Linked DNA regions of Mus musculus. The protein of the gene in region 2 interacts with the protein of the main gene of each other region in a biochemical or structural test. Links are inferred from orthologs where the notes say so. Each region holds a gene or a part of one and is shown on either strand. Other genes may lie near its edges.

Region 1 (10,420 bases), on a different chromosome or scaffold from region 2:
AGATCTGCCTGCCTCAGCCTCCCGAGAGCTAGGATTAAAGGGATGTGCCACTACTGCCTGGCTGAGATGAACTCTTTTTTAGAAAAACTGCAAGTTTAACTGGGACTTGCAAGTTTAACCAACATTGTTATAATTGGTCTTTTATTTTTTCTTTTTCTTTTTTTTTTTTAATCTTTGAGAATAGCATATAGAAATCAAAGAAACTGTCATCAAATCAAATTTGTAGGACTATTAGAAACCATCTTGTTCAATGCAGGCCAGCCAGTAAGTGTTCACTAAATGGACTGTCCTATTACTCAACAGTAATTGTGAAACAGTAATTGTGAAAATGTTGAGTGTAAGTTGTTTTAATTCCTATTTATTTTTGGTTCCATTCTTGAAAGAACTAGCTATTCCACACGTCAACCTCCAGTTATTTAAAGATGAATTATATCTTTAGCCTTCACTTCTTCAGGCTTAACATTTTATTGTTTGTCACATATCCTGAGTTTGTCTGGATCATTTATATATAGGAGTTATATCTTTTCAATTGTTTATTGCTTAGACACAGTAATGGTTAACTTGGCTAAGTTTCTTCTTATAGGCCAGATTGTTCATCAATGAACTATTCATTTCTAATTCTGGTATATTTTTATGTCTAGTGAAACCAGATGAGCTCTAGCAGTACATATTTTTATTTTATTGTTTGTAACTCAGATGGCCTTGAGTGTGATCTTATCTGTCTTCTGAGTTCCAGCTGTATGCTACCATAGCGAGGCCTCAAACAAGGTTTCAGTACTAATTACATATCAAATGTGTTCTTTTTGTTGTTTAGTCCAGGCTGGGTTAGAATTCATATCAATCCTCCTCACTCAGTTTCTGAAGTGATGTACACAGGCACCATGCACAATTTAATTTTTTAAGTCATTTCAAAGAAAATAAAATGAAGGGGCTGGTGAGATGGTTCAGTGAGTAAGAGCACTGACTGCTCTTCCGAAGAGTATTTCAATTCCCAGCAACCACATGGTGGCTTATAACCACCCATGAGATCTGACACCCTCTTCTGGCACGTCTGAAGGTAGCTACAATGTACTTATTTATAATAATAATAATAATAATAAATAAATAAATAAATAAATCTTTGGGCCAAGCCTGGACGCCTTTAATCCCAGCACTTGGGAGGCAGAGGCAGGCGAATTTCTGAGTTCGAGGCCAGCCTGGTCTACAGAGTGAGTTCCAGGATAGCCAGGACTATACAGAGAAACCCTGTCTCAAAAACAAACAAACAAACAAAAGAAACAACAAAAACAAATCTTTGGGCTAGAGTAAGCAGGGTTTGAGTGAGTAGGGCCAACTGGAGTGAGCAGGGTTGACCAACAACCAGATCAAGGCTCACAACTATCTCTACAGCTACAGTGTATACTCATATACATAAAATAAATAATTTTAAAAAAGAAAAAATTAAAAAGTGAATATAAAAAGACACTGTTAGGAGGCTGAAAGTCCCATATTAGTCATATATGATGAGGGTACTGCACTGGTTGTGAAGGCTATTCGGGATCTAGCCTATATATATGCTACTGTTTTATAGCTCATATTAAGAGTATAGATTCCTCGGCCAGCAAAATCACTCAAAGGGTAGAGCGACTACCAATGCCAAACCTGCCGCCTTGAGCTCAGTCTCTAGACCATCGATATGGTTGAAAAGGAGAAGGGACTCCTTCAACACATCCTTTGACCTCCACATTCACAATGGTATGTCAGCACCAACACATACACAAATAAATATAATAAAGAGAATAAGATTTTTGTAGTTAAGCCCACATAGGCAGTTGTAGTGTAGGACTTTGCAACTCACCTTCCCAGGCCTCTAAGCATGACTATGTTGAAAATGAAAGAATTATAAAAGCTCATGTGGTCAGGCAATGGTGGTGGTGCACGCTTTTAATCCCAGCACTTGGGAGGCAGAGGCAGGAGGATTTCTGAGTTCAAGGCAAGCCTGATCTATAGAGTGAGTTCCAGGACAGCCAGGGCTACACAGAGAAACCCTGTCTCGAAAAGCAAAACAAACAAACAAACAAAAGCTCATGTGGGGCTGGAAAGATGGCTCAGTGGTTAAGAGCACCAACTGTTCTTCCAGAGGTCCTGAGTTCCATTCCCAGCAACCACAGGGTGGCTCACAACCATCTGTAATGGGATCCGATGCCCTCTTCTGGGGTGTCTGAAGGCAGCAACAGTGTACTCATACATTAAGTGAATAAATAAATCTTTAAAAAAAAAAAAAAGCTCATGTGGTTATTTAGGACTCAATCCAGATTTTCATATATTAATAGAACAGTGAATTAAAAAACCCCAAGGCTATAGGAAAGGAGCTAAATGCTGCTTGTAAACCACCTCAGGCAGTGGACAGAGAGCTCTGCAGATGAAGGTGCATTTCCACATTAGCTTAAGCTTATGGTTAGTTCTAACTGAATTTTATTTGATGAGGCACCAATTTCTATAGGCCACATTTTTTTAAACCATAAACATGTTCTAGTTCTTTAGATGTATTGTAAACTGTTGCATGTTGGACTTATATTTATTTTAGAATTTAAAGTTTGGAATTTAGACCTGCTGGCAGGTGAAATACTAAACTACTGTAACACTCATCACTGACCCAGATTGTGTGTGTGTGTGTTTGTGTGTGTGTGTGTGTGTGTATTTCCAATTGTATACACGATGATGGTGGGGGTAGGGAATGGAACTATTTTAGACTTAATAACCAACTGCTGGTACATTTGAGCCTAAAGTGGTTTCTTAAAAGCTTTGCAGAGTTGACTGCCTAGGATGGATCAATTTAATGCCATCCTATGAGTCTAGGAAATGAAAAGGCCTAGTGTTACTTTTCAATTACCAAAATTAGTTTTCTGTCTTAGCTGAGGTAAACAACAGTCTACTAATAATTTTGTGACCAATAAAATCGGGTCTTACAGTTGCAAGTGTATCCACTGATGTAGATGAGAAAAATTCAGAAGTTAAAGTTAAAATAGGAAAGCCGGTCCATCCCGGTAGTGAACGCTTTAAATCCCAGCACCTGGGAGAAGAGGAAGGTGGGTCTCTGAATTCAGGGCCAGCCTGGTCTACATAGACATTACCTGATCAGTCATCCAGGGCTTCAAAGTGAGATTCAGACTCAAAAAATAATACAGTCAAGTGATGGTTTTATCCCCCACCCCAGGTTTCTCTAAAAATATAATTACTATAATTATAGGGGTCGTTACAGGGGGTTATTTTGTTGGCTTTGGTCTCCACCATAGTTTTCCAGTTTTTTCAAAGAGTGAACTTATGCCTCGGGTATGTTAGGTAAAATGTTTTAAAACTGGGACTGACCATGTAGTCTAGGCCTTGGAGTTACTATCCTCGCTTTTCCTCTGGAGTCTAAGCATTACAGGTCTGCTTGTCATGTCCAGTAAATGAGTCTCCTTGCCTCCCTTCCTTTCTTCGATGCCTGGGAATCGAACTAAAGACCTTGGGCATGCCAGGCAAGTTTTGTATCACAGACCTAAATCCCCAGCCTAAATGAGGGTTTTTATGGACACCTTTCTTAGTCACCGTATAGGTATGTTGGTTTATTCTGATGGGAGGCTTAGTTGTCTTCCTACTCAAGCGAGATTACCGGCATTCTTTGTCTCCCCCAACTCCCCCGTTTTATGGAATAACAATAATAATATTACTCTGGTCAATTTTCATAGACTCAAATATAGCTAGGTTATTTCCAGGTCACACATAAAAACGTTAAATCCTTAAAAAAAAAAAAAAAAAGAAAAAAGAAAAGACAAGGTAAGACAAAACTTTCTTACCCACTTCACTGTTCGACTTCTGGAGCCGGTTCAGAACGAAATGCATGCAAAAGTCTGGTTGAAACGACAGGAAATCCACCAGAGGGAGATGCTTGCTAGACAGTGAGAAAGAAGCTCCCGCAAGGGGCCTGGAGAGGAGCTTTGGGAGGAGCTGCCGAGATGGCCCAGGATTCCAGGAGGTGTGTGTAGTTTGGAGCTGGTGTCAGAGACCAACTGATGGAAGCAGCTACGTTGGGCCTACTACCTGCTGCAGCGAAGGGTTTACCTGGCCTAACATTGTAAACTAAAGGCCTAAAAACATTTCCAAATGAGAAAACGAAGCTCCCAACCCACTTACCAACAGTCCCCGAAGAAATGGGGGGGGAAGGGGGGTATTTAAAGGCACTTCCGCTTAGCAACCCCACGCTGTTGCTAAGGAGGGGCCGCAGCATTAACGACCCGGAAGTGGTGGTCTGAATTTCACAGCGACGACAGGGGTTTGTCCTATCAGAAGAACGAGGATGCTCTGCGGCTCCAGGAGGTGGGTGGGACCTGCATTAGTACTTCCGGCTTGGCTCGGCCGCCCCTCAACTGGTCTTCCCCCTCCCCTCCGCCTCCTCCGCTCCCTCCGCTCCCTCCCGCTCCTGGGAAAGCAAAGCTGCGGCTTAAGGGGTGGTTGAGAGAAGCAGTAGGCGCCTCGGGGAGGGGACCGCGCCCGCCCCCTTGGAACACTGGAGCACCGCTGATTTAGGTAGGTACTCTGGCTTCGACTGGGTCTGGGAGACTGGAGTCTGAGATGTGTGTGTGTGTGTACGTGTGTGTGTGGGGGGGGTGGGGTGGGGGCTTTAGGAGCCCTTCGCTGGGGCGGGGCAGTGGACTCGGGAATCCCGGGTGGGGCGCGGGCCTGTCCGTGGAGGGTTGCGGGGGCGGGACAGAGGGACCAGGGTCCCTGCGTGCAAAGAGTTGCGGGTTGCGGGTTAGACCCGGTCGCAGGAGGCGCCCTTTCTGAAGCAGGGACTTCGGCCAATGCAGACCGGGAGTTTCCCACCTGGAGTGCCAGCTCCGAAAAGAAGGGGGAGCATCATCCAGGGCCGAAATCAAGGGTATAGACTTGGAGAGGTGACTGTGGTCATCCTGTGCTTCACATTGTCCGCGTCCCGGACTCTCTGTTGGGACAGAGCCGGGCTTCGAGGGCTTGTAAGGGTTTCGTGTCGGCTGGGCACCGTGGAGCCGCCCTTGGCAGAGGTAGGGCAGAAGAGTGGGTAATGAGACCTCCCTCCACCCAACTTCCGTGCGCTTCCCCCGCTTCTTCCTTTATTGCTCTCTCGGCAGGGCGCCCTATAGGAGCGTTGTCCCCTAAGTGGGTACGCATCACGTCGTAAAACAAGAGTGTGAAACTGGGTTTGTTGCCCCCGGATGATTTTTCGGATATTTGCAAAGTGCCAGAATGGCATATTCTAGCAGTCTCCCAGACCGATATGAGTCTGGTATGAATTTTCTTAGAAAATGCAATACTGGAAGGCATCTGACTATATTCAAACGTAGCCTTGTAAATGAGCATGCTTTAAAAAAACCACTAGGAAATCCATATTTAGAGGTCTAGATGAGACATGTTTAGGCAAGCCTTTTTCAACCTCTTTCTCACCTGCCAGTAATCCTTTTGTGGTTTAAACGAATTAGAAATGCTATCTTCATTTTGTTTAAGTGACTGAATTGTAGGAAGTATAGTATATGTCTTAGAAGAACTAGTGAACATTTAGAGAGACAAGGGACAAGAGTCCCTTTCCAATGATTGAACTCTCTCTTAATCTTTTAAGGAGATAATTATGTTCAAGTGGAAGTATTGGCTTTGAGAAAGATAATTCTGGGAATGAACCCGCCTTTGCCTCTTAACTAGTTGTTGACTTTGGTCAAGTCACAGACTAACAGTTTCAGCCTCTTCACAAGGAGGAATTAAATTCTAGTCAGTGTCAAAAGAGAGGTGATTACTTATATAACTCCATTTAAAACAAGCACCTTTGAATTTCAAGGTTGTCATTAGTCAACATAGTTAAGGGAGCCCAACTTAGTGGAAGGGGATTTTTGAAAAAGAAACTGATAATATTCAAATAGTATACGGCAGGAATTCGAGGTTTGGGTTTTTTGTTGTTGTTGTTGTTGTTGTTGTTGTTTTGTTTTTGTTTTTGTCTCACACACACACACACACACACACACACACTCACGCTCTGGCTGGCCTGGAAGTCACTCTGTAGACCAGGTTGTATTGTACTCACAGAGCTCCGCCTGCCTCTGCCTCCCCAGTGCTGGGATTAAAGGCATGCACCACCACTGCCCGGCTTTATTATTCTTTATTTTGTAGTTCTGAGCATTCAGTTCAGAACGGTCTCACACAGTTTTCACTATTGAGATACAACTTTAGATCCTAGAAATTGATCATATGTAGCATAAAATGCAATTATCAATAGTTTCCTAAAGCCCATATTAAGTACAATATGTTTATTTTTTTGAAATGACCAAAGTACATTTTATAGGTTCTTCTCAGATAATCTTTATGCTGTTAGATATAGCATGGATTGAAATAAAAAACATAAGTAACTTACTTAAATCTTAAATCACGTGTCTTCTTAATGGAAGTTAAACTTGGGGCATAAAATAGTAATTGTAAGGTCAACATCACTTGCATGACCCATCTTAGATTATAAGATTAGCAAAACTTAGTTTTGTTTTGTTATTTTGAGACTGACTTATCATGTAAACTCAGGCTGGCCTTGATCGTGAGATACTCTTTCCCCTGGAGTGTTGGGGTTACAGCTGTTTGATAATTCACTTGACTTCTAGAAAATTCTTATATAAACTATAAAATGAATAAATGAAAATACAATAAATTCCTCCTTCTAAATCATTAGTAATCAGAATGTAGAAATGATTTTAGAAAATGAAATATTGACATATGCTTACTTGCCTTGTGGATTTAAAATTGTAGTTCTTTGTAGCCTGTTTGTTTGTTTGAGACAGGGTTTCTCTGTGTAGTCCTGGCTGTCCTGGACCCTTGGTAGATCAAGATGGCCTTGAACTCACTGAGATCCACCTGTTTTTGACTCTCAAGTGCTGGGATTAAAGGCATGTGCTTCCAAACCCCATTTATTGATGGATTGGTTTTTCCTCTGTAGCCTATTATGTTGGTCTTTTCTTTTCTTTTTGGAAAAGGGTTTCACTGTGTAACCTTGGCTGGTTCAGAAATTGTTTTGTATAGCAGATTTACTTGGAACTCACAAAAATCCGTTTGCCTCTGCTCCCCAAGTGCTGGGACTAAAAGCAGGCATCATCACAGCTTCTGTTGGATTTTCGACTAACAGGTTTTCTTTCTGGTTAGTAATCTTTTATATATACTTTAGTTATGTACTTTTATTTTATGTGCATTGATGTTTTGCCTGCATGTGTCTCTGTGTGACATCTTGGAGTTACAGACAGTTATGAGCTGCCATGTGGGTGCTAGGATTTGAACCTTAGTCCTCTGGAAGAGCAGTCAGTACCTTTAACAGCTGAGCCATCTCTTCAGTCCCTGTGGTTAGTTTAAAACATTTCAAATATACTTTATATTCAAAGGGGCTGAATATAATAACATCCTTTTTTTTGTTTTTGTTTTTTGTTGTTGTTTTGTTTTGTTTTTTGAGACAGGGTTTCTCTGTGTAGCCCTGGTTGTCCTTTGACTCACTATGTAGACCAGGCTGGCCTCGAACTCAGAAATCCGCCTCTGCCTGCCTCTGCCTGCCTCTGCCTCCCAAGTGCTGGGATTAAAGGCGTGCGCCACCACGTCCGGCTAAATAACGTTTTAGAAGCAGGGTTGAAATTATGTTTTGCTCTGATTGAGGCTTTTTGGTGTGGTGATTCAAATTTCCAAATGGCGTTTTTAAAGGGAACATTCTTAAATTCATATCTAGGTTTTTTGGCTATGTTTTTTGAGTTGTTATTTTTCATTACTTAAAGTTGAAGTTATGTTGTCTTGCTAGCTCTCAGCACTGTCTGTCTTTTACCTGTCTTTTTATAAAATGTTAATCCATTTATTTTTCATATAAGGAATAGGATAATAGCTATTTGGTGTGAAAATTCTGCCTAAATTATATGCCACAAATACAAAACCATTGGATATACTTTCCCTAGTGATCTCTTCCACAAGAAGTCTGTGACCAAGCCAGAGATCTTTGCAGTTGTCAGTTGTGGAATTTGCTGGTGAGGGAATCTAAGAACTGTTGACCCTTCTTGAACAGCTCTTTGATGATGTTAAAAAGTTTAGGCATAATAGAGGAGATGTGTATAAGGACATAGACACATACATTTGTACATATGCACAATATAGTAAAATCATAGAATCAGCACAATAGTTAGTTATGTTGTGGTGCTGTTAAACCAGGAGCAAAAGAATTACTGTGGAAATGTTAAAAATAAAAAAAGTCCAGAAACTACTTTGTTTTTACTGTAACCATGGGACTTTTCTCTCCTGAGCTTGTTCCTACCTTATACCGTATTTTATGGAAATGGTTATTTAGCTTCTAATTAAGTTAAATAATCTTTATATTAAGGCTATTAATTTTTAATATTTATGTTAGTATATAAAATAACCTTTATATTAAGATATAAAATAGAATGTAGTTAGATTTTAATGTCACCAGTTTGGTAGTAACTGCTTCAGTGGCTTTACATACATAGTAGACTTTCCTGGAAGAACTTTGGATTTGTAGAATGATAGTTTTTCCTTCACAGCGACTCTATCCACTGGGGCCTAATATAGAATCTCCGAGAAGCTGGGGAGAGGAAAAGAGTGAATTTGCTTGAGAATTACCATTTTAAGTTTTATAGATTTCTTATTTAGAAAGCTAAATTGGATTTTGACATTATTGGGATTGTGTTCAAGATGGACTCAGGGAAAAAATGAGTTGCCATCTGTTTCACATTCCTTCTTTCCTCCCCCTCCCATGTTTTGTGGCTTTGAATTCATCAGATTATTTTTCAAAAATACAAACCCTCAGTAGATTTAGATTATATAATATTAATACGTAACTAAATAACATGGATTGTTATGTTGCGTTATATAGGACAATAATAGACAATGCATAAAGGTAATTGTTGAATTATTTAATGTTCTGGATTTGGCTTCAAATTTGCTATATAGTCAAGGCTGGCCTTAAACTTTTGATCCTCTTGTGTTATCTTATAAGTGCTGAGATTGCAGGCCTGTGCCACCAGATCTGGTATTGCTAAGCCATTTTTGTCATTTCCACTTACTATAGTTTAATTGCTGGTGAAAGCTATGTTTTTTTTTTTAAGGAGTATATTAGAATAAATGGTGGTATTAGAATAAATCTTTATTGATTCGGTAGATCACAACCTGAAAAACAAAAGTCTGCTCAGAATTTTTATTTAGTGACAAACACACTCTAATTTATACTTGTAGCAATAGTTTTTCCTTACCTATATACCTATGGCTTTGTTTTAATCTAAAATGTATACCCAATTCAATTTGGATTTTTTTGACAGGCAGGTGCAGGGCACATTTGAATCTAAATAAATGCCAAGCAGGGGCAATTAGGTTTCCAGAACTGAGAAAAAGCATACTTTGCTGAGTATAGTAGTTGGTACTTAGCCTGACCTTAGAGACCCAGGTATCTTTGATAGGCTGTAAAGCAGAACTAATGTGATATCCCAGAAATGGCCTGAAGAGAGAGCCATCTGGACAGAAGAGACTCATGCTTTGTCTCCAGCAGGAATGTTCTGGTGAGGTAGGAAGACAGATGGACTATCCCTACACCACTGTAGTTTGTCCCTCACTTAGAAGCTTCAAGTGGGCAGCGTAGTTATGTGGGGCTGGGATGCCAGGGATAGTAATTTTTTTTTTTTTTTTTTTTTTTTTTTTTGCCTGTCACAGTGGAGGTGTGGACATTCTGGGAAACGATTCTCTCTTGGCTTTTATAGCATGGCCAGAGAAGGAGGGTAGACACAATAGCTGTTCCTCTTTCACCAAAGAGAATTAGGTACAGCATCTCTCTTAGAGTGCTTGGGCGGTGCTTAGTGCTTACCACAATTTGATGTCTTCATCAAAGTGCTGCATAACTTTTCTAGGAAACAGCATTGGATCTGTGTTGATTTCTGCCCCACATAGCTCCTACTCTAGTAAAAGAACTTGCGGGCCTCTCAATGAAAGTGTTATGGAGGTACATCTCTCTTCATAGTTTTGAGATACTACTGGTCACCAGTGAGGAAGGGTGTGTGTGTGTATGTGCACGATGCACACTTGAATGGCTATGATAATCAGATTTAATTTCTGATTCCTAAATCACTAAAGATTACAGTTTCTTCCAGCTTCCCAGTTGAATTTTTTGTCCATTTCCCAGTGGTCATCCTGATGTAAGATGCCAGTGAACAGAAGACTGGTGGATAGCAGGAAGATGGAGTATTTTTTCTTTTAGTTTTTTAGAATTTCTTTAGTCCAAAGTGATACCATCTGCCCTGTATTGTATGATTGTGAATGCCTTGCTGTGTTTTCTTGTGTGTGTTTCCAGTTCATTACTGGGGGGGTGTGGGGGTGGTTTTGAGGCAGGGTTTCTCTGTGTAGCCCTGGCTGTCTT
Region 2 (9,720 bases):
TTCTCTGGTAGAGTAGAAAGTGCTTTTAAGTGCTGCATCATCTTTCCACCCCCCCCCACCCCCCAGGGTGTGTGTGTGTGTGTGTGTGTGTGTGTGTGTGTGTGTGCGTGCATGTTTTGCCTGTATGTATGCGTGTATACCATGTGTGTGCTTTGCAGATGGATGAAAATAGCTATCTGTGTGTGTCCTCTAAGCTCAGCACATACAGTTCTTTTACCATTATTGAGTACCTGCAGTTCACAGCTGTGTGTGTCCTGTTTCTACCTGTTAGTTTATGTATTTTGATATAGTGCTATATTGAAAATAACTTTACTAATAAGGACTTTTCTGACTGTCATTGACTGAGTTTGAAAAGCAATTGTTCTTCTTTAGGCTGAGGTCAGGGAAAGTTCTCAGGCAGGAGGTCTTTCTAACTTCGTCCCATTCTTAGTAAAGGAGGGTGTTTATGGAAGAACCTCTGGCCCTGTCTCATAGTAGCTTTGCAGCTCAGGGAAGGCTGGTATCCGTTATATGGCTATTCGGTGTGAAAAGAGCTTTCTTTTCAGTTGAAAGACATTGTAAGTCCTTAACCCTGAGTAAAGAAAGAGCAGGGAGTGTCTGAGCTGGGCAGCACATTGTATTGTCTGTGCCTGACTAGGATGCACAGTCATCTTTCCTCTAGGCTGACTACTTTCCTACTGCCTTAGTAACATGCCAGTATAATCGTCCTTCATAATTTTGTAGCAATTTGAGGAGTATGGAAAGCTCTAAAAGCTAGGCAGGTGTGGTGGCACTCACATTTAATCCTAGCATTCAGGAAGCAGAGGCAGGTTGGTCTCTGTAAATTCAAGGCTAGCTTGGTCTACAGAGTGAGTTCAGACTAGTCAGGGACCCAGGCCCATGTGGTGAGATGCTGTGTGAAAAACGAAGAGAAGAAAAAGAAAAAAACCCACTCTGTCAGAGGAGTGAGATTACTGATAGTGCTTGGACTTAGTTTGTTTCCAGTCACCTTTTCAGGCTTGAGCTGTAGCCTATAACCAAGAATCCACATTTCAGGCTAGGTGTGGAATTACTTTTAACATTTTTTGACTTGTATTATTATTATTTTTACATGATTGGCATAGACTACAGAATATCTTCTTGGTAGTGAAGATACAGAAACCAAAGATGAAAAAGAAACAGATAAAGAAAATACAGACACCAGTAGTGACATTGGCAAGTCTGTTGCCCTCTGTGTCCCCAAGCCTCTCTCTTCAGACTCCACCTTACTTCTGTTTAAGGACAGCTCTTCTAAGATGGGGTAAGTTCTTATAAGGAAATACAAAATTCTTTTGGATTTCTGAAGACTTTCTTAAAGGTGTGTGAGTGTGTCTGTGCACGGGTATGCGCACACGAGTGTAGGTGCCTGAGGAGGCCAGAAGAGGGCACTGGATCCACTGCAGCTGGGAACCAGTCTTGGAACCTCTAGAAGAGCAGTGTGCACTCTTAACTATGGGCCATTTCTCCAGCCCATCCTTGAATTTTTTTTACAAGAGAATAGGAAGTAAGAACTCAGCAGTTTACTATTTTATTTTGTAGTTACTTTCCTACTGAAGAAAAGTCAGAAACAGATGAATACTTGGCCAAGCAGTCTGACAAACTGGGTAAGTAGTGATCCTTATGTAGAACGTTTCTTTAGTTCTGATATGTAAAGGCCATAGTCTCTCAAAAGTTTCTTCCTTCCTTTTTTATTCTATTAATAGCACATTCTTACATGTAGCAATGGCAGGGATTTATGAATTAAAATGGTTTTCATGGCCCATTTTTTGTTTATTTTTTTAACATTGACTTACTTTTACTCTGTGAGCATGAGTGTCACACCTGTGTGAATGTGTGTGCCTGGTGCTCACAGAGGCCGGAGAGGGTCCTGGACCAGGACTTACAGATGGTTGTGAGCTATCATGTGAGTGCTGAGAATTGAACCTGGGTCGTCTGTAAGAAAGTAAGGGCCCTCCAGGCCCTGGGCTGCATGTCTATAGTTGACCATGGACATAGGGTGGATCCTGAGTGGGTGTGTGTTGATTTGTTGATTGAGTGACACATGAGATAGTTTTATGCAAAGATCACAGAGAAGTATGTATTTAGACAGAAGAGAAGGAAGAGAGTGTCCGCGTGTCACTGAGCTCAGAGTAATGAGCCCTAAGTATACAACACTCTTGTCAGGATGACCTGGAGCCTAGAACTTAAGTGATTTGCCAGTGAATTTCACCTGTTCGATTCTCTGCTCTCTTTTCTAAACAAATGTACCTCGTTCCTGTGTTCAGAATGATACCTCTCTCCTCTCCTTTAGATGAGGATGACTCGAGTTCACTGCTAACAAAGGAGAGCAGTCACAATAGCAGCTTTGAGCTGATTGGTTCCACAATTCCATCCTATCAGCCTTGCAACAGACAGATAGGCCGTGGGGCAAGTTTTCTCCCTACAGCAGGATTCAGATCGCCGTCCCCTGGGCTGTTCCGAGGGAGTTTGATCAGCTCGGCTTCTAAGGTAAGGCGGGGAGAGTTGTTCTCATCTCTGTTCACTGCCCACATTGCTAAATAGAGTGCGTCCCAGCCAACCAACTCCCACCACCGAGGTGCTCAGCTTTAGAAATCCACCCGCTTCGTGTATTAGCAGGCGTTCTTGCTTACAGGTAGTTTTCCTCGGGTTCTGTTGACAGTACATTGTCTTCCTCACTGTGGTTGCTTGAGAGCGGATGACATATTGCAAGTAGCAACTTCTGTTGTTGTGGTGACACTGGATGGCATTTGTGAAATGTTTTGCTTTTGTTTTTGTTTTGGTGCCAGAGTTCAGGAAAACTGTCTGAGCCTTCACTTCCCGTAGAGGATTCCCAGGATCTGTACACCGCCTCCCCAGAGCCTAAGACACTTTTCCTAGGAGCAGGAGACTTCCAGTTCTGTTTGGAAGATGACACTCAGAGCCAACTGTTGGATGCAGATGGGTAGGTAGTTTTGTGTTTCTGTGGGTGGGAATAAGGCTGGGTGCTGCTTAATTTTGTTTAAAAATAAAATGAGCTTCTGCCACTCCATCTGCGCTTTCTCTTCTGAGAAAGAGAAGGTGTCCTGGCCATTAGTCTTATATTCCACGAGTTTGAACGAAGTCTCCAGAAAATAAAATGTAAATACCCCTTGCTGGCATTCCTATTCTCTGATCTCATTTCATATACACAGTCCTTGTATTATAAGGGCTTTCGCTGTTCATCCCCTTGTGTTCTGATTGTTGGGTAAGATTAGGATATAGTACCCATCCCTGATATATCATTAGAAGCCACCTTTATACCTTAGAAGTTAGTCTTTATACCTCACCTTTTGACAAACCTTGCCCGTCCTCCCTGTCTAGGTTAGCATGAGGCTAAACTTGTTGCCTGGGTTGAGGCCCAGTGTTAGTTACTGGTCTTGTGGCTCTGACAAGATCCTGAGAAAGCCTCTAAAAAAGGAGGTTTACTTTGAGTACTGGTTCCAGTGGCCATCGTGTGTCACAGCGGGGCAGTCATGGCAGCAGGAGCACAGGCATGGGGCACATCGCCCCCACAGTCAGGAAGAAGAAAGAGATGAGTGATGTTCATCTTCTTTTCTCCTGTTTAGTCAGTCCCTGACCCTGGCCCATGGAATGTACCACGCACCGTTAGAGTGGGTCTTCCTGCCTCTTTTAATCTAATCTAGCTAATCCCTTGAAGACACACCCAGAGATGTGTTTCCGTGGTGATTCTAAGTCCCTTCACCTTGAAATTTGAGATCTTCACATTTAGCTTCTTGGTTTTCTTTTTATAATTCTTCAAAATTACATTTTGTTTATCTTGTGTGTGTACATGTGTGAGCACAGATGAGCCACCGTATACATGAGAAGGTCACAGGACAACTTGCTGAAGTTAGTTCCCTCTACCTTGTGGATTCTGGGAATGGAACTGAACGCCTCAGGCTTTGCAGCGAGCACCTTTCCCACTCAGCGGTCTTGCTGGCCACGTTCAGCTTCTAACCCTGGTGCTGGAAGTCAGGAGGTTTTTACCTGTCGTTTGTCTCTCCTCTGGGTAATTTCCGACACTTCACTGTACTCGTAGATTTTTAAACATTAGAAATCACCGCCATCGATATCAGGCTGTGAAGCCCCAGTTGCCACTGGCCAGCATGGACGAGAATGCCATGGACGCCAACATGGACGAGCTGCTGGATTTGTGCACTGGACAGTTTACATCTCAGCCTGAGGAGAAATGTCAACCAAGGAAGAATGACAAAAAAGAAAACATGGAGGAACTTTTGAATCTCTGCTCGGGCAAATTTCCTACTCAAGGTAAATGTTCTGCGAGAGTCCAGGTAGCACAGCGAGAATTCAGTCAGCTCATGTCACCGTCCCCGGAAAGAAGCTCTTGCCCCCTCTCTGTAAGTGCACAGAAAACAGGGATGGGATGGAATCCTGCCACTTCCTCACCTTTACAGTGACACTGTCAACTTAGGACTGCTTTAGCTTCAGCATCACAGTGTATAACTTAATCTCTCTACGGAGGTTAGAACAGTGTCTGGTGGGGAGTAAACGTTGCATGCTTGCTGAAACAGGAAGTGGGCTCTCTGAGGTAATTGGGTGTTCATTTTGTTCATGACTGTCTTCCTGGGGCTCAGCACACAGTAAATATGAGGAAGGATTTGTTGAAAGAATGGATGGTGAACTTTTCCACATCCCACCTAAGAACTGAATTGAGCTGGTGGGTACATAGATGGCCAGGAGAGCAGAGGTGGCGTTTCCTTCCTTACTGGCCTTTCCTTGTTGAGGTAGATGCCTCCCCGGTGGCCCCACTGGGGCTGAGGAGTCAGGAGAAGGAGAGCAGCACAGAAGATCCGATGGAAGAGGCACTTGCTCTTTGCTCCGGCTCTTTCCCAACAGACAGGTGAGTCTCAAAGGTTGTCGGGAACGCAGGAAGATGAAACCCTAGGATCCGCTGGCATAGTGATGCACACCTTTAATCCCAGCACTCTGGAGACAGAGGCAGGCGGATCTCTTGAGTTCCAGGACAGCCAGGGATACACCGAGAAAACAAAAGCAAAAAAACAACCAACTAAGCAATCCTAGGATCCGGTTCTCTGTGTTTAGCAACAAACTAAGTAACTTTGGGAAAGGCAGATCTTTTAAGGTGACTACAGTTTTTATATAAACTAAGTATTGGCAAAGATCAGGGAAACCTCTGCTTGTTCTTGGTGAGCTGCTAGGGAAACAAGTTCAGTGGTTTCTCAGAGCTGATAATAGAATTGCCATCTGATCCAGCAGCTCCACTTTGGCTCTAGAGAAGTCTGAGTGGTGGCACATGCCTGTTACCTCAAAAAGAACCTCAGAAAGCCTAGTGTGGTATGTGCTTAGAATCCAATAGTCTAGAAACAGGCAAGAAAATCAAGTTCAGGCCAGGTAAGTGGCTCAGTGTCAAATACTTGACACCAAGCCTAAAGACCTGAGTTCAATCCCTAGTGTCTAACGAGGTGGGAAAGAACCAACCTCTACAAGTTGACCTCTGGCCTCTTTATGTAGTATAGTAGTTATAACGTGTGTAGTTATAGATGCACATGCCTGTACATTCACACACAGTAAATAAATAAATGTATAAATAAATGAAGGCAAGAAGGGTGAGGTCAGCCCTGCTACTCCTTTCTTATACCTAAATGAATAAAACAGGTTTTTATAATTTGTGTTTAACATAATTTGATAATAGCCAAAATAAAGAGGAAGTGTGGCTGCTGACTTGTTAAGGTTATTGTTGCTGTGATAAAACACCACGAGAAAAAGCAAATTGGAAGGGCTGGAGAGATGGCTCAGTGTTTAAGAGCACTGACTGCTCTTCCAAAGGTTGTGAGTTCAAATCCCAGCAACCACATGATGGTTTACAACCATCTGTAATGAGATTGATGCCCTCTTCTGGTGTGTCTAAAGACAGCTACAGTGTACTCACCATATAATAAATAAATAAGTCTTTTTTTTTTTTTAAAGCAAATTGGGGAGGAAAGGGTTTATTTAGCTTACTCTTCCTCATCACTGTTCATCATCAAAAGAAATCAAGACAGAAACTTAAGCAGGGCAGGAATCTGAAGACAGGAGCTGATACAGAGGCCATGGAGGAGTGTGCATACTGACTAGCTCAACCTGCTTTCTTATAGAACCCAGGACCACCAGTCCAGGACCACCTCAGTGGGCTGGGCCCTCCTCCATCAGTCACTCATTAAGAAAATGCACTACAGGAGCTAGAGAGGTGGCTCAGTGGTTAAGAGCACTGGCTGCTCTTCCAAACAACCTGGGCTCGATTCCTGGCAACTGCATGGCAGCTCACAACTCTCTATAGCTAGGGTTCTAGAATCTGACATCTTCATGCAGACATATATGCCGGCAAAACACCAATGAGTGTAAAATAATACAGTGAAAAGAAAAAGAAAATGTCCTATACACTTGCGTACCACTCTGTCTTATGGAGGCATTTTCTCAATTGAGGCTCCCTCCTCCATGATTATAGCTTGTGTCAGGTTGACATAAAACTAGCCAGCACATCTGCTAAATAGAATTTATATGCATTACATGGCTTTAAAAGGAAGGAAATTTGTTTTTGTTATTTGAGACCAGGTCTTCCTATGCAGCCCATACTGGCCTGGAATTCACTGTTAGTTCAGGCTGACCTCAAACTAGTAATCCTCTGCTTCATCCACCAAGTGTGTACATCAAACCCAGCCAATAGGAGGGAAGTATGACACATGCTTCACCATGGAGGGACCGTGACGATATGCTAGGAACAAGAAACATTTGTCACTGAGGGACAAGTACTGTATAAGTCTGCCTATATAGTCACTGGAGTAAGCAGTTTGACAGAGACAGGAAATTAGATGGTGGCTGGAGAAAGAGAGGAAGATTTGTCTAATAGGCGTAGAGTTTTTACTACCTGAAGGACTTCGGAGGTTGCTTATATAATAGTCTCAACGTAATTTTTTCTGTTTTGTTTTGAGACTAGGTCTCATTCTGTAGCCCTGGCTGACCTGGACCTCACTCTATAGACCAGATTAGCCTCAAACTCACAGAGATCCTACTTCCTTCTGTCTCCCAAGTGCTGGAATGAAAGGCCTGGACCACTACACCCAGGGATGACTAGCCTTTCTAGTCAGTCCACTCTGAGCATCCTTATCTCTGCCTTATGAGGCTGTAATTACAGGTGGGCCACTCTGCCAAGCTGGCACTGATGCAGGTTCTGGGGTCAAAACTCCAGTTTTCACAGTAGCAGGGTAAATGCTTTAGCCCTCAGGCTCAAAACACCTTTTTAAAAAGACAAAATACCTCATTTCCCGCTTCTTAAAAGAAATTTCTGGTGCTGATGAGTGTCTTAAGTCCTTAGCTTGGCTGGCTGCTTGTGGTGTGCTTTCAGTAACTTAGTGTTTTGTCCTCTAGGGAGGAAGAGGGTGAAGAGGAGGAATTTGGAGACTTCCAGCTTGTTTCAAAGGAGAATGGATTTGCTAGTGACGAGGTGAGTGCAGAGAGAGTACAACCAAGCTCCACTCGGTGCTCCCCTGCCCTCGTTCTTGAGAACTGAGCTTAGCGTCTTACCAGAAGCAGTGTCCTGTGCTGAGGCGTGGGGACAGAACTTTATAAACCCTCTTGTTGCCTTCTGGTTTTGTCTCATGGCGCTGGAGCTCAAACCTGGGACCATGTGCCCGAAATCCTAGTGCTTTAGGAGGCTGAGGTAGGTTTGTGAGTTCAAGACCAGCCTGTGCTGCACAGCTAGACTCTGTCTACAAAGTAAACAGTTTAGGAACAGGGAAAAGAGCACAGGACTCTGTTCCGTGCTTAAGGCGTGGCAGCACTCCCTTACTGTGATCCCTGTTGTCGGTGTGTAACTGAGTTTGCTGCTCTGCCGTGGCAGGATGAACACAGTGACTCCAATGATGAAGAGCTGGCCCTGGACCTGGAGGATGATGAAGAAGAGCTCCTGAAGCAGTCTGAGAAGATGAAGCGCCAAATGTAGGTGTTCTGTCCAGCTTCTAGACAGTTCTCCCAAGTTGAGGTATAGCCTGCTACCTTTTTAAATAAACTTGCTGGTTTGGTTTCTGCTTTTCGAGATTAACATTTAAACCAGTCCTTCATGGCCTTGAGGCAAATGAGGTGACTGAGCAGGTAAAAGTGCTTCCTGTGCAACCCTGACTGCCAGGAAGGCAGTCTAGATCCCATGATGAAAGCAGAAAACCAATTTCCAGAGGTTTTCCTCTGATCTCCACACTTGTGCCATGGCACACATATGCACATGAATAAGTTTTTTAAAACCCTTCTGTGGCCACTTCTTGTTTTGTTTTTTGGGTTTTTTTTGAGACAGGGTTTCTCTGTGTAGCTCTGGCTGTCCTGAAACTCACTTTGTAGACCAGGCTGGCCTCGAACTCAGAAATCCGCCTGCCTCTTCCTCCCGAGTGCTGCGATTAAAGGCGTGCGCCACCACGCCTGGCTTCTGTGGCTACTTCTTGCGTACTCAAAGATGGTTCTATTTTCCTTAAGTGACATCAATACCAAATATCTCTCAATTCCTCCCAGACCCAATGACATTTCAGTAGCGTTGCTTCCTACTCTCATCGTGTCCTGGAATAGTCTCTCTCTAATCAGGTGTGCTCTGGCTGTTTGTTAGATGGGTATTAGTCATGTGACCCAAGATCAGGAGAACTGAGTCAGTCCCTATGCCCTAAGACTATGCTGATAACTGACCTTGGCAGGAACTGCTCCTATGAAGTCTGTCATTCCTGGTTTTCTTGATTCTCGTCTCAGACAAATGGCCTGCTTAATTTTTTTATATTTAAAATATTTGTCACTCATGAGAGTAAAACTTTTAGAGTATTCAAAAGAATGTATGAGCTGGGGATATAGGTAGAGGACTTGCCTGTATGAATGAGGCCCTGAGCTTAATCTCCACCACATACTACTAAAAACATAGGTGGGTGGGTGGGTGGGTGGGTGGGTGGTGGGTAAGCTAATGGAGGGATGGACAGATGGACAGGGATTGGCAGTGAAGCTCAATAGTAAAGCACTGCATAGTATGTGTAAGGTTCTGGTTTATCCCCAGCACCACAAACGTGAAGGGAAGGATGGGGGGGAGGAGGGAGGAAAGCAGGGAGGGAACTGTTGATATCAATTGGCCAGAATGTGTGTGAAAGCATTGGTAGTACATTTCCTCATAACATCTGGGATTTAAACAATTTCTTTGTGTGTTTCACTTTGCATCTTTACTTTCCCTCATAGCATATCCATAGTATCATAATCTTAAGCAGTTTCACAAAGGTAATTTGATAAAGATCCAGTAGCTTATAGCATGTGCATGACTTTTCCATTCATGTCAGGACGTCATATTGATCTCTATTAGATTTATATTGTTGCTTTTGGCCTGTCATTTCATCCTCTTAAGATCCAGCTGGGGTTCTCATTTGTCACCTGTCACTTTAACTTTTTTGTGTAACTTTAGAATATAACCAGGTCTTTTAACCCCCAGAGGTAGTATTTGTTAAACTTATTTAACTGCAGAGATTTTTCAAATCAGTCCTTAAAGAATGGCAACCAGCTAGGCAGTGGTGGCGCACGCCTTTAATCCCAGCACTTGGGAGGCAGAGGCAGGGGGTTTCTGAGTTCGAGGCTAGCCTGGTCTACAGAGTGAGTTCCAAGACAGCTAGGGCTACAGAGAAACCCTGTCTTGAAAAACCAAAAAAAAAAAAA
Region 3 (10,317 bases), on a different chromosome or scaffold from region 2:
GTTGGCTATAGGAGCACCTCCTGGTTGGGACCTAGGAGGGTATTCTGATACTCAGACGGCACCTTCAACATCTCTTCTGTATGTAGACAAGCATCTGAGAGACCCATGGGGAGGTTGCTCTACCCGATTTGATAGAAGCAGACTCCGAACCCATCCCTTCTATGTCTGTCCCGGGTTCCACCGGAGGCAGTCCCTCAATCCAAAGTGCGGAGGTAGGGCTGACTTCTTCTCCAAGAGCTGGAGCTGTGAGATTTCAGTTGAGGCCTACTGAAACCCCACCTTGAGCTGGGATTATGTTAAAGTAAAAGCCAACTATACCCTAGAGCCCTACATGCCTGGAGGAAAAGATGTAGCTGAGTGTGCTGACTGGTGCCATCCACTCTATATTACCTTCACTGAACCAGGGAAGCAAGCTCTAGAATGGACAAAAGGATACACTTGGGGTCTTAGGCTTTACAAAGAACGATATGATGAGGGAATGTTGTTCACTACCAAATTAATAATAAAGACCCCCCCTACACTCCTTTGGGTCCCAACAAAGTCTTGGCCCCAGTTAAGATAAACCCCAGACCATCACCACCGCCCCATTCGCATGGTACTGAGACCCCTTTGAAAAGAGTCATTGAGACTGCTCCCCTCAACCCGCCTGAGCAATCTCACTCGACCCATCTAGTCCAAGAGGCTTTCAGGGTTATTAATAGCACTAACCCTGAAGCCACTAAATCATGCTGGCTCTGGTATGATGTGGCACCCCCTTACTATGAAGGCATGGAATTTATAAAGGCAGTCAACCACTCTGATGAAGCTGCAACATGCCGGTGGAAACAACAGAGCGCTAGGCTCAACTTATCCGCTATCACTGGGCAAGGACTATGTGTAGGAACAGTGTCCCCCCCCCCCCCCCCCGCCATATCCACCTATGTAATCAAGCCATGTCCAATAATCGATCCACTGGCTACCTCTTACCTCTGCCAGGTGTAGTGACATATGTCCTTAATCCTTGAGGGTTGGAAAGAGGGCAGAGGCAGGTAAAACTCTGGGTTTGAGACCAGGTTGGTCTACAGAAATAGATTCTAGTTAGTCAGGATACACAGTGAAACCCTTTCTCCAAACAAAAAACCAATAAAAATACATCTTTAAAAAACAGCCTGGTGGTGACAGCAGTGGCACAAGCCTTAAATTCTAGCACTCGGGAGGCAGAGGTAGGAGTTCCAGGCCAATCTGGTGCACAAAAGAGTTCCAGGGCCGGGCAGTGGTGGTGCACACCCAGCACTTGGGAGGTAGAGACAGTCGAATTTCTGAGTTCAGTTCCATGCCAGCCTGGTCTACAGAGTGAGTTCCAGGACAGCCAGGGCTACATAGAGAAACCCTGTCTCGAAAAAAAACAAACCAAACTAAAAAAACCTAAAACAAACAAACAAACCAACAACAACAACAACAACAACAAAAAAAAAAACAACAGAGAAGTTGGGTGTGCTGACATATGCTTTTAATCCCCAAACAAAAACTAAAACCACAAACATAAAGAAGGAGAGAGGAAAGTGAGAGAGGAGGGGACAGGTGGCCCTCTTCTCTTAAAAGAAGATGGGCAAAACATCCCTGAACAATAAGCAAGCTAGCATTTGGAGTGCACATTAGATAACAGGTTTTTAAAGAATTTATCTGGGGCAGGGATGAGGGTGCACATGTGTAAGCCAGAGGCCAACCTTGGATGCCACTTCTCTAGAGCTGTTCGCCTTGTTTCTTGAGACAGTTTCTCTCCCAGAGCCTGAAGCTCCTTGACTAAGCAGGCTGGTCAGGAATCTCCCCTTCTCCAGCACCAGGATTTATAGGCATACACCACACACATTTCCACAGGAGCTCTGACTAAGCTCAGGTCCTCATGTGCGCTGGGCAAGCACTGTCCTGACTGAGCAGTTCCCCAGCACTGCTAACAACTGAACTGTTCCGCAGTACCCTTTCGAAGCACCAGCACCTAGAGTCGGTGGGCAATTGGAGGTAAGGACTTGGGAAAGATAATTAAAGAAAAACTAGGTCTCTGTGGAGGGCCGAGTGGGATGTAAATATCTGAGCCTCAAGCACAAAGAAGCAATGGCCACAAGCACAAGGTGCTATCTGACACCACCTTCACCTCGAGCTCTGAGCTCAGAACTCGCCAGCCTTACTTTCAGTTGTTTCAGCAGGCCCACCTGTTGCTCTGTCACAGTGGCCTTGGAGAATGGTCACTGCAAAGTTTTGCAGGAGAAACCCAGGCTGGCTGTTTATGGTGACTTCCTCTCTCTGGGGATTTGATTGCTTGAGATACTTGGGCATAAAGGGGCCAGAATGTGTTTACTTTTCCATGACTCAGCAGCAGTGACATTAGGAAATGCAGATATGGAAAATAAAGAAAAAAGGCCAATATCAGCTTAGGCAGGAGAATGAGGCTCATCTCCATTAAAGTACCAGGTTCTGGGTACAGGCCCCTTGAAGAGCAGCACGGCCCACTGTGCAGCTGCTCTCACACTCCCACCTCTAGAGCTGTAGAGTAAGGACGGAGGCAAAGAGGCCGCCTCTCCTGCCCTGAGACCTGAGTTAAGATGCAAGCACCTGCAAGGACAGCTAGCAGGCAACCAGGGAGCCCCACCCTCAGGGCCGGCTGGGGGCGGGGCCTTGGAGGGGCAGCCGCGGCTGCGCACTCACTTGAAGGCCTGGCAGCCACAGGTGCCCATTACTCATCACTTTCCCCAGAGCTTCTGGTAATATTCCTCCGCCTCCCAGGGAGTCACCCTTGGGATCTGAAAGTGGCTCTGCCGAGCCTCCGCCCACACAGGTTCCTTCAGCCACCACTCACAGATCCTCGCATGGGCCAACCACAGCCCCTAACCAGAACGCCACGCCCCTTGCTGACACGTGCATCTTCCTTTTCTCACTCTTCCCCCAAATTCCAGACACCGTCCACCTCCCTGTCCCATTACTTCCCATTGACTCTTTATTTTTGTTTGTTTTGTTTTGTTTGTTTTGTTTTGTTTTTCGAGACAGGGTTTCTCTGTGTAGCCCTGGCTGTCCTGGAACTCACTCTGTAGACCAGGCTGGCCTCAAACTCAGAAATCTGCCTGTCTCTGCCTCCCAAGTGCTGGGACTAAAGGCATGCGCCACCATGCCCGGCTTCCCATTGACTCTTAAGCTGTGTGGCATCTCTACCCCCTTCTCACACCTCTAGGTCTTTCTGCCTACCAGGTACCCTACCTTAGTAGCTCTGCTAACAGCTCCAAGTCTCGAGCTCTCCCAAGAATGACCTCGAAGGACTCCCAATACTGCCCTGGAAGGCCAGGATGCAACCCATCCATCACCAATGGTGGGGAAAGGTGCCGAGTCACGGAGCCAGGACCCCAGAGCCACGACAAAACCCAGGAGACCTGCTCTGCAGTCAGTGATCTAAAAGAACTGTGGCTCCAAAATCCCAAATGGGCCAGCCAGTGGACACAGGGCCTATCTTCACCTCCTAGCTCCAGCAAGGCTTTGTTTTTGTTTTTTAAGGAAAAAAAAATCGTGCTAGCCTGGAAAGAGTCCCAAACCTATAATGTACTTTCCTTTCCATTGACTCTGAAGAGTCCCCTCGTAGACTGTGGCCCAGGTCCCTGAACTACTACTACTACTACTATTTCTTCTTCTTCTTCTTCTTCTTCTTCTTCTTCTTCTTCTTCTTCTTCTTCTTCTTCTTCTTCTTCTTCTTCTTCTTCCTTCTCCTCCTCCTCTTCTTCTTTTTCTCCTTCTCCTCCTCTTCCTCCTCCTCCTCCTCCTTCTTCTTTTTGGATTTTGGAGACAGGGTTTCTCTGTGTAGCCCTGGCTGTCCTGGAGCTCACTGTAGACCAGGCTGACCCCAAACTCAGAAATCCCGACTGTCTCTGCCTCCCAAGTGCTGGAATTAAAGGTGTGCGCACCACTGCCAGGCTTCTCCTTTTTTCTTATTTATTTATTTTTATTTGGTTTCTGGAGACAGGGTCTCTCTGGGTAGCCTTAGCTGTCCTGGGACTCACAGAGATCTGCCTGCCTCTGCACGTGCCATCGTTACCCAACTCAAATAAGCACTTTGGAATGCTTACCATGACGAGGCCATCCCAGATGTGACTGCTCCTTAAGCATCCATCCAGCTCCGCAGAAAGTCAGCACCCATCCCACCTGTCATGCCAGACTAATATCTGAGACCCCTCACTTTCCTGGAGGCTCCTTTCCAGAGCACTTTTACTTCCAAAAACACTACTCAGAGCGACTGCAGTCTCTGTATCCAGCACCTAGGTCAAATTTCCAGCTGCCACACTCCAAGCGGCACTTGTGTCAAACGAGAATCAACTCCGTCTGCCAGAGCCCAGGGAGTTGGTATCACCTGGCATTCTGGCTTCAAGGATGGGAATGCAGATACAAACAAGGGACAACTTGTTTGTATCAGATGTCCCTCTCTGTATCTTCAAATGAGGAATGTCTCAAAATGCTCTTGACCTTGTGACTTTCCTTGGAGGCACCAGAGAGGCCCAGTACCCTAGAGGTTAAGGGGTAAGGCATGGTTAGGCAGGGAAATTAAGAGCCACCTCTGAGCCTGTGAGAATTGTACACCCAAGTCCCTGGATTCATGCAGCAGTTCCCAAGGTGCCTCTTTTTCAGCCAACAGAGACATGGTGTCCAATGACTGCCATCGACATCTGAAGATGGTTGATCTAATCTCCAGTGGGGTCAAGACTTTTGATACTTAATGCCTCTTTGATCAAAGCTAAAAGGCTGTTTCAAGACATCCCGAGTTTTCTCTTTGTCCCAGTCTAAGGGGAATATGACAACTTCAGAAAAAAAAATGTTCTGGAAAAAAGCCAAGGCATGGCAGACATGCCCTCCCTGCTTCAGAATAGTCTTCTGGAAAAAGTGTCCATCAGCCCCTCCCCCAGCCCATAAGCTGGCACACCAGCTGCAGCAGCAGCAGGGAAGACCCACAGAGGCCCGCTGTCCCTGAAGCACACCCTGCAGCTGTGAAAGCTCTGTCCCCAACCCAGCCTCACCTCCCAGCTGCAGAACTTGAAGTACGGGTTACTTCTCTTACGCCTCGGTAGCCTCGTTTTTTGAAAGAGAGACCCAACTGCATCTACTTCGTGGGATTTGATGGAAGGCTTCTAGAAGAGACTGCTTACCCCAGTGCCTGCCACAGTTAAGTGTCGAGTAAGAAGCGCTGTGCTCCAGAGGAAACTAGTAATTAAGGAGTCCCTAAAAGTCCCATGTGAGCTATTACGCATGCACTTATCCATCTTATAAGTGTTTATAGACACCTTTAAAAACTAACTACCGTCGCAACATCTCGGGGGTGTAAGGTGCTTATGGCAGAGCGACAGTCCTCCAGGCCAAACGAGTCCTCCCAAGCTCTCAAAGAGCAGTCCCTGGCCTCTGAACGTCAGTGGTACCTCTCCTAGGGACGAATGGCTGCAGGCCAACCTGGTATGGACAGTCAGCACCGGGACTGATATTCACCCCCGGCAAGGTGATCAGCTTTTGTGAGTGAGGAATAAATGTGCACGTCCGAGCCCTGGAGCCCGAGTGGCCTCCTGCTGGCCTTCCAAGCGACGTGCGGCCTGCTCAAAAGCCAGAGCCGTGGGGGTTCGGGGCGGGCACGGGAGTCGGTGATGGGATGATAGGCGGCGGGGACCTCTTACCAGGTCCTGGCCGCCCCGCAAAGCCAGGCCTCCCCTGCTCCCAGCGGCTGGACGATGATCCCCGCTCTAGCGGCCCAGCCCCCGGCAGCAGGCAGCAGCCGTCAGAAACTCACCTGCCGTCGCAACCGCGCCGCCTGTCAGTCAAGCTAGCCCACCGCGGCGCTGCCTAGAGTCTTGTGGCTCTGCCTGCCACGCCCCGCCTCCTCACCGTCAGACGTCCAATCGGGAGAGCCTATGCCAGGAGCGGGGGCGGTGTCACAGGTCACAGCCTACTAGAGGGCGGTACCGGGCACGCCGGAGGCGTGGCCGTGCGAGTGGTGAGTGCCCAAGCATGCCGGGAGTCGGGGGAGTGGCCGTGCTGCTGGGGTTTCACCGTGTGGTTCGAAGGCCGTCCTGTTGAGCGGTGAGCATGGTTACTCGATGGGCGTGGTCGAGGGTGTGGCCACGCGGCAATACCTGCCCTTGCTTTTCGGAGTTCGGAGTGGTTGCCTGCCCTGCTGAGGCGGGGCCCTACGGGCTTGGGGTGTGGCCTGGCAAGGCGGAGGCGGGTCTGAGTGCAGCCGACGCTCTGACGACACTTCTGCGCGCCGGAAGAGAGAGGTTCCCTGGACTACGCGTCTGGTAACGCAGCGCCAAGGGTCTGGTTCCGCTATGCGGATTACTGGGAAAACATTCCGCCGGCGCCGGGCTGACTCGGAGTCGGAGGAGGATGAACAAGAATCAGAGGAGGTTCGGTACGTGTTGCTGAGACAGGCTTGGGACTGGATACCGGCCAGCGCCACGCAGAGGCTCCTAGGGATAAGGCCACATCGCGGCTGGGAGAGGTGCCCCGGGGTCGCATGGGTCTGACTGCCGATGACCACTGGATCAGGGACTCGGCAAAGGGACATGTCCTTAGAACGGAGTTTGGCTTTTGAGTTCCGCAGGTCTCAACCTGTGCGTCACTTTTTATTCCTTTTTTTCCCCCAGGCTAAAACTGGAAGAAACCCGAGAGGTGCAGAACTTGCGGAAGAGGCCAAATGGGGTGAGGTGGGTACCACGGGGGTGGTCGCGGCGTCATTGATTTCCAGCTAAAACAAAAATTTCCAGCTAGGGTCGCAGTCACAAATCCCTCCTTTGACATACAGTTCTACTGATCATAGAGGGAACTAAGGTTCTTTATAAATGTTTGTCACATGCCCTGAACCTGATGGTCTATGGGTCTGCTCCAAGTCACTAACTGTAAATTTTAGCTGGACTGATGAATTGTGATTGACAACGTGTTAAGAGATAAGAATTTGGGAAACTTAGGTTAAAAAGTATAATAAATAAACAATAGCCTGGTTTGGTGCAATCCTATCACAGGGAGTTTGAGGGCAACCTAGGCTTCATAAGAAGAATAAAGAAAAAGAAAAAAACTTGAGGTAGAGAGACAGCATTTATAATAATATTTCCATTTATTTCCCACCTATTTCTTTTTTAGTTTATCCCATGCTTTTAAAGAGTTAAATCATCATATTACTGTGAGCCTCTGACCATGGTGTGTGTTTTCCAGAAAACCTTTTTAGAAGGCTGCGTCGTGTGCATTGCCAGGGGTGTGCACTATAACTTGCTACCAGATTGACTGGGATTGTGTGCTGCCTCACACCTAGACTCCCAGACTTGAGAAACTGAAACAGTGGGATTACCATGAGTTTGGTGCCAGCCGGGCCTGCAGAGTGAAACTGGTCTCAGCATCAACAAGGCCCATCCTAGTGCCATAGCACTGTAGTCCCAGCTGTGTGGGAAGATCACAGGTTTAAGGCCTGACTGAGCAACTATGAGACCTGGGTCATAAAGTAAACAAGAAATGGTGGGGATAGCTCAGTGCTGGTGTGCTTACTCAGTCCCTGTCAAGCCTTGGCTTCAGGTTTTAGGGTCATTTTGATAAATTTTCCTCTGGCATATGTCTTCTGATACAGATCCCTTGACTGGCAGAACCTTACTCTGTGATTTCCAGAATATCAAATGGCTTTGCAGGAGCGTGCGCCAACTGCTTCATTGCCTCTCACCCGACCCCCCATTTCACCATTCACAGCGAGCAGAGCACTGGGTTCTTCTTTGGCTTTTGTAACTACTGCCCACTACTCTCTCAGTTATGTAATCCCAATTGTCTCAGTTTGCTTCCTACTGCTGTGACCAGGACCAAAACAACTTGTACCCTTCCTGATCATCCTCAGTTATTGGGGGAATCATGGCAGGGCCTGAAGCAGAGACTGGAGGACACTGCTTCCTGGCTCATTCACATCCAGCTATGTTGTACAACACAGGCCCACTTGCCCACGGGGAGGAGCACTGTCCACAGGAGCAGGTTCTCGATTGAAGTTTCTTCTTCCCAGACAATTCCAGCTTATGTCAGATCAACAAAACCCTAGCCAGCACACTGATTTCCTCCTTGTCTCTGTGTTGTTTCTCTTTCTGTGGTTTGGTTTCTTTTGCTCAGTGCGGCTGCCCTGCTGGTAGGAGAGAAGGTTCAAGAGGAGACTACTCTGGTGGTGAGTGTTGGCTCCTCTCTGGGGCTGTTCTTCCTCTTTTTTTTTTTTTTTTTTAAGATTTTTTAAATTTATTATATGTAAGTACACTGTAGCTGTCTTCAGACCCTCCAGAAGAGGGCGTCAGATCTCATTACAGATGGTTGTGAGCCACCATGTGGTTGCTGGGATTTGAACTCAGGACCTTCAGAAGAGTAGTTGGTGCTTTTTTTTTTTTTTTTTTTTTTTTTGGTTTCTCTGTGTAGCCCTGGCTGTGCTGGAACTCACTCTGTAGACCAGGCAGGCCTCGAACTCAGAAATCTGCCTGCCTCTGCCTCCCAAGTGCTGGGATTAAAGGCATATGCTCTTAACTACTGAGCCATCTCTCCAGCCCCTGTGACTATAACCATGGTACCAGGGAGATAGCTCAGAGTGTTTGTTATGTAAGCACAAGAGTCCATGTTTGGATTCCATGGCATCCCATAAAAACCTAGGCATGGTGGCACATGTCTATAATCTGAGCACTGGGGAGGCAGAGAGGATAATGTAGCGGAATAAGCAAGCTGAGAGACCCTCTCTCTCAGTATAAGTCAAAGGGTTGAGGAAATGGCTCTGAGGCTAAAGTGCTAACATTGTTTCTGAGTCAGGCTCCTAGCACCCACATAATAGCCATATATGATAGCTTACATCTGTATTCCTACCAGGGGGTCCGGTGGAGTCATATAGATGTCTAGAGCTGGCTGACCAGCCAGTCCACCCAAATCAGTAACCTCCCTGTCTCTGAAATTTAAGGTGGAAAGTGATTGGGACAGATTCCTGAGTTTGGCCGCTTGCCTCCACAACCACACAATATGCACAATTACATATACATGCAGAGAAATTAAAACAACAACAACAGCAGCAGCATGGTGAAAGATTGATGAGAACACACAGCGTTAACATCTGGCCTGCACGTGTGTGCACATACATGTTCATGCACACCAGCACACTCGATGATGACACTAACTGAGCTGCTGTTGTTCTAGATGTGTCCTCTAAGCTGTGTGCTTTTCTGCAGGATGATCCTTTCCAAATGGCGACAGGGGGCATGGTGGACATGAAGAAACTGAAGGAGCGGGGCAAAGACAAGTAAGTGGGGGGAGCGGGGTGCAGACACTGTCGCCTGGGCCTGAGTGTGCAGGGACAGGGAGGGACATCCCGCATAGAGCATACCATAAGTGTGCCAAGGTACAAACTCCCAGGAGGGCTCAGAGCCAAGAGAGAAGATTCTTTTGTAAAAGGGTAAAAGGGCCTTGTTTGTTATTTCAGACATGGGGAGAAGCTTTGCATGAAAACATAGTTAGAAAATGATATACTGACAACCCAGCACTCTGCAGATGGAAACAGAAGGATTAGGAGTCCAGGGTCAGCCTGGGCTGCACTAGACCCTCTCTGAATAAAGCAACTGAGAAAATGTGTAAGTGTATTTAAGTAACTAGGGCATAGCAAGTAGAGCTGAGGGCCTGAGGTAGATCCCTGACCCTCACATAAAAGCCTAGTGGGACAGCGTGTATCTGTAACCCCAGCATCGGGTAAGTGTCCTGAGACTCGGTGGCCAAAATAATGAGCTCTGGGTTAGTAAGAGACAAAGGGGAGAAGCTAAAAAGAAGGGCACTCTGACACAACCTTGGCACACACAGAAACTTAACTATTATAAAAGTTTGCAAAAGAAAGCATGCATTCAGACTGGAGCGATGGCTCAGTGGTTAAGAGCACTGACTGCTCTCTTCCAGAGGTCCTGAGTTCAATTCCTAGGAGCTACATGTGGCTCACTAGAATCTGGTACCCTTTTCTAGTGTGTCTGTAGAGTGTGACGTGTACTCACATACATACATAAACCAATCAATCTTTAAAAAAAAAATGCACTCATTCCCCAAAGTCTCAGCCGACGTTGCCTTCCTGCTTGCATATGTGTCTAGCATTGTCTCTTTACATACCATCCTGTGTCTTATGTTTTCATGTGTGTTCTGTGGTAACTTGGCATCAATGACTGTGACCTGCTCCCTCCTCTCAGGGTCAGTGAAGAGGAGGATCTGCACCTGGGGACATCGTTTTCTGCAGAGACCAACCGGAGGGACGAAGATGCAGACATGTAGGTACCAGTGAGGCCCATTGTC

The links.
Region 1: of the proteins of Clspn (region 2) and Csnk1g1, one has a biochemical effect on the other in vitro, tested with the Homo sapiens proteins (2 studies listed by BioGRID). The link is inferred for Mus musculus from reciprocal best matches to the Homo sapiens genes CLSPN and CSNK1G1.
Region 3: of the proteins of Clspn (region 2) and Usp20, one has a biochemical effect on the other in vitro, tested with the Homo sapiens proteins (2 studies listed by BioGRID, with this or other methods). The link is inferred for Mus musculus from reciprocal best matches to the Homo sapiens genes CLSPN and USP20.

The regions. Positions count from the first base shown.
Region 1 is NC_000075.6:65,904,621-65,915,040, forward strand, and holds the start of Csnk1g1 (casein kinase I), read left to right. Parts: upstream 1-4,389; 5' UTR 4,390-4,548; intron 4,549-4,667; exon of another isoform or gene 4,668-5,042; intron 5,043-10,420.
Region 2 is NC_000070.6:126,573,538-126,583,257, forward strand, and holds part of Clspn (claspin), read left to right. Parts: intron 1-1,103; coding exon 1,104-1,279; intron 1,280-1,557; coding exon 1,558-1,622; intron 1,623-2,308; coding exon 2,309-2,505; intron 2,506-2,804; coding exon 2,805-2,959; intron 2,960-4,075; coding exon 4,076-4,305; intron 4,306-4,785; coding exon 4,786-4,897; intron 4,898-7,422; coding exon 7,423-7,498; intron 7,499-7,894; coding exon 7,895-7,992; intron 7,993-9,720.
Region 3 is NC_000068.7:30,977,867-30,988,183, reverse strand, and holds the start of Usp20 (ubiquitin carboxyl-terminal hydrolase 20), read right to left. Parts: upstream 5,906-10,317; 5' UTR 5,786-5,905; intron 1-5,785. Other genes in the region: BC005624 (telomere length and silencing protein 1 homolog), read left to right, coding at 6,324-6,406, 6,642-6,701, 8,134-8,185, 9,219-9,289, 10,215-10,292.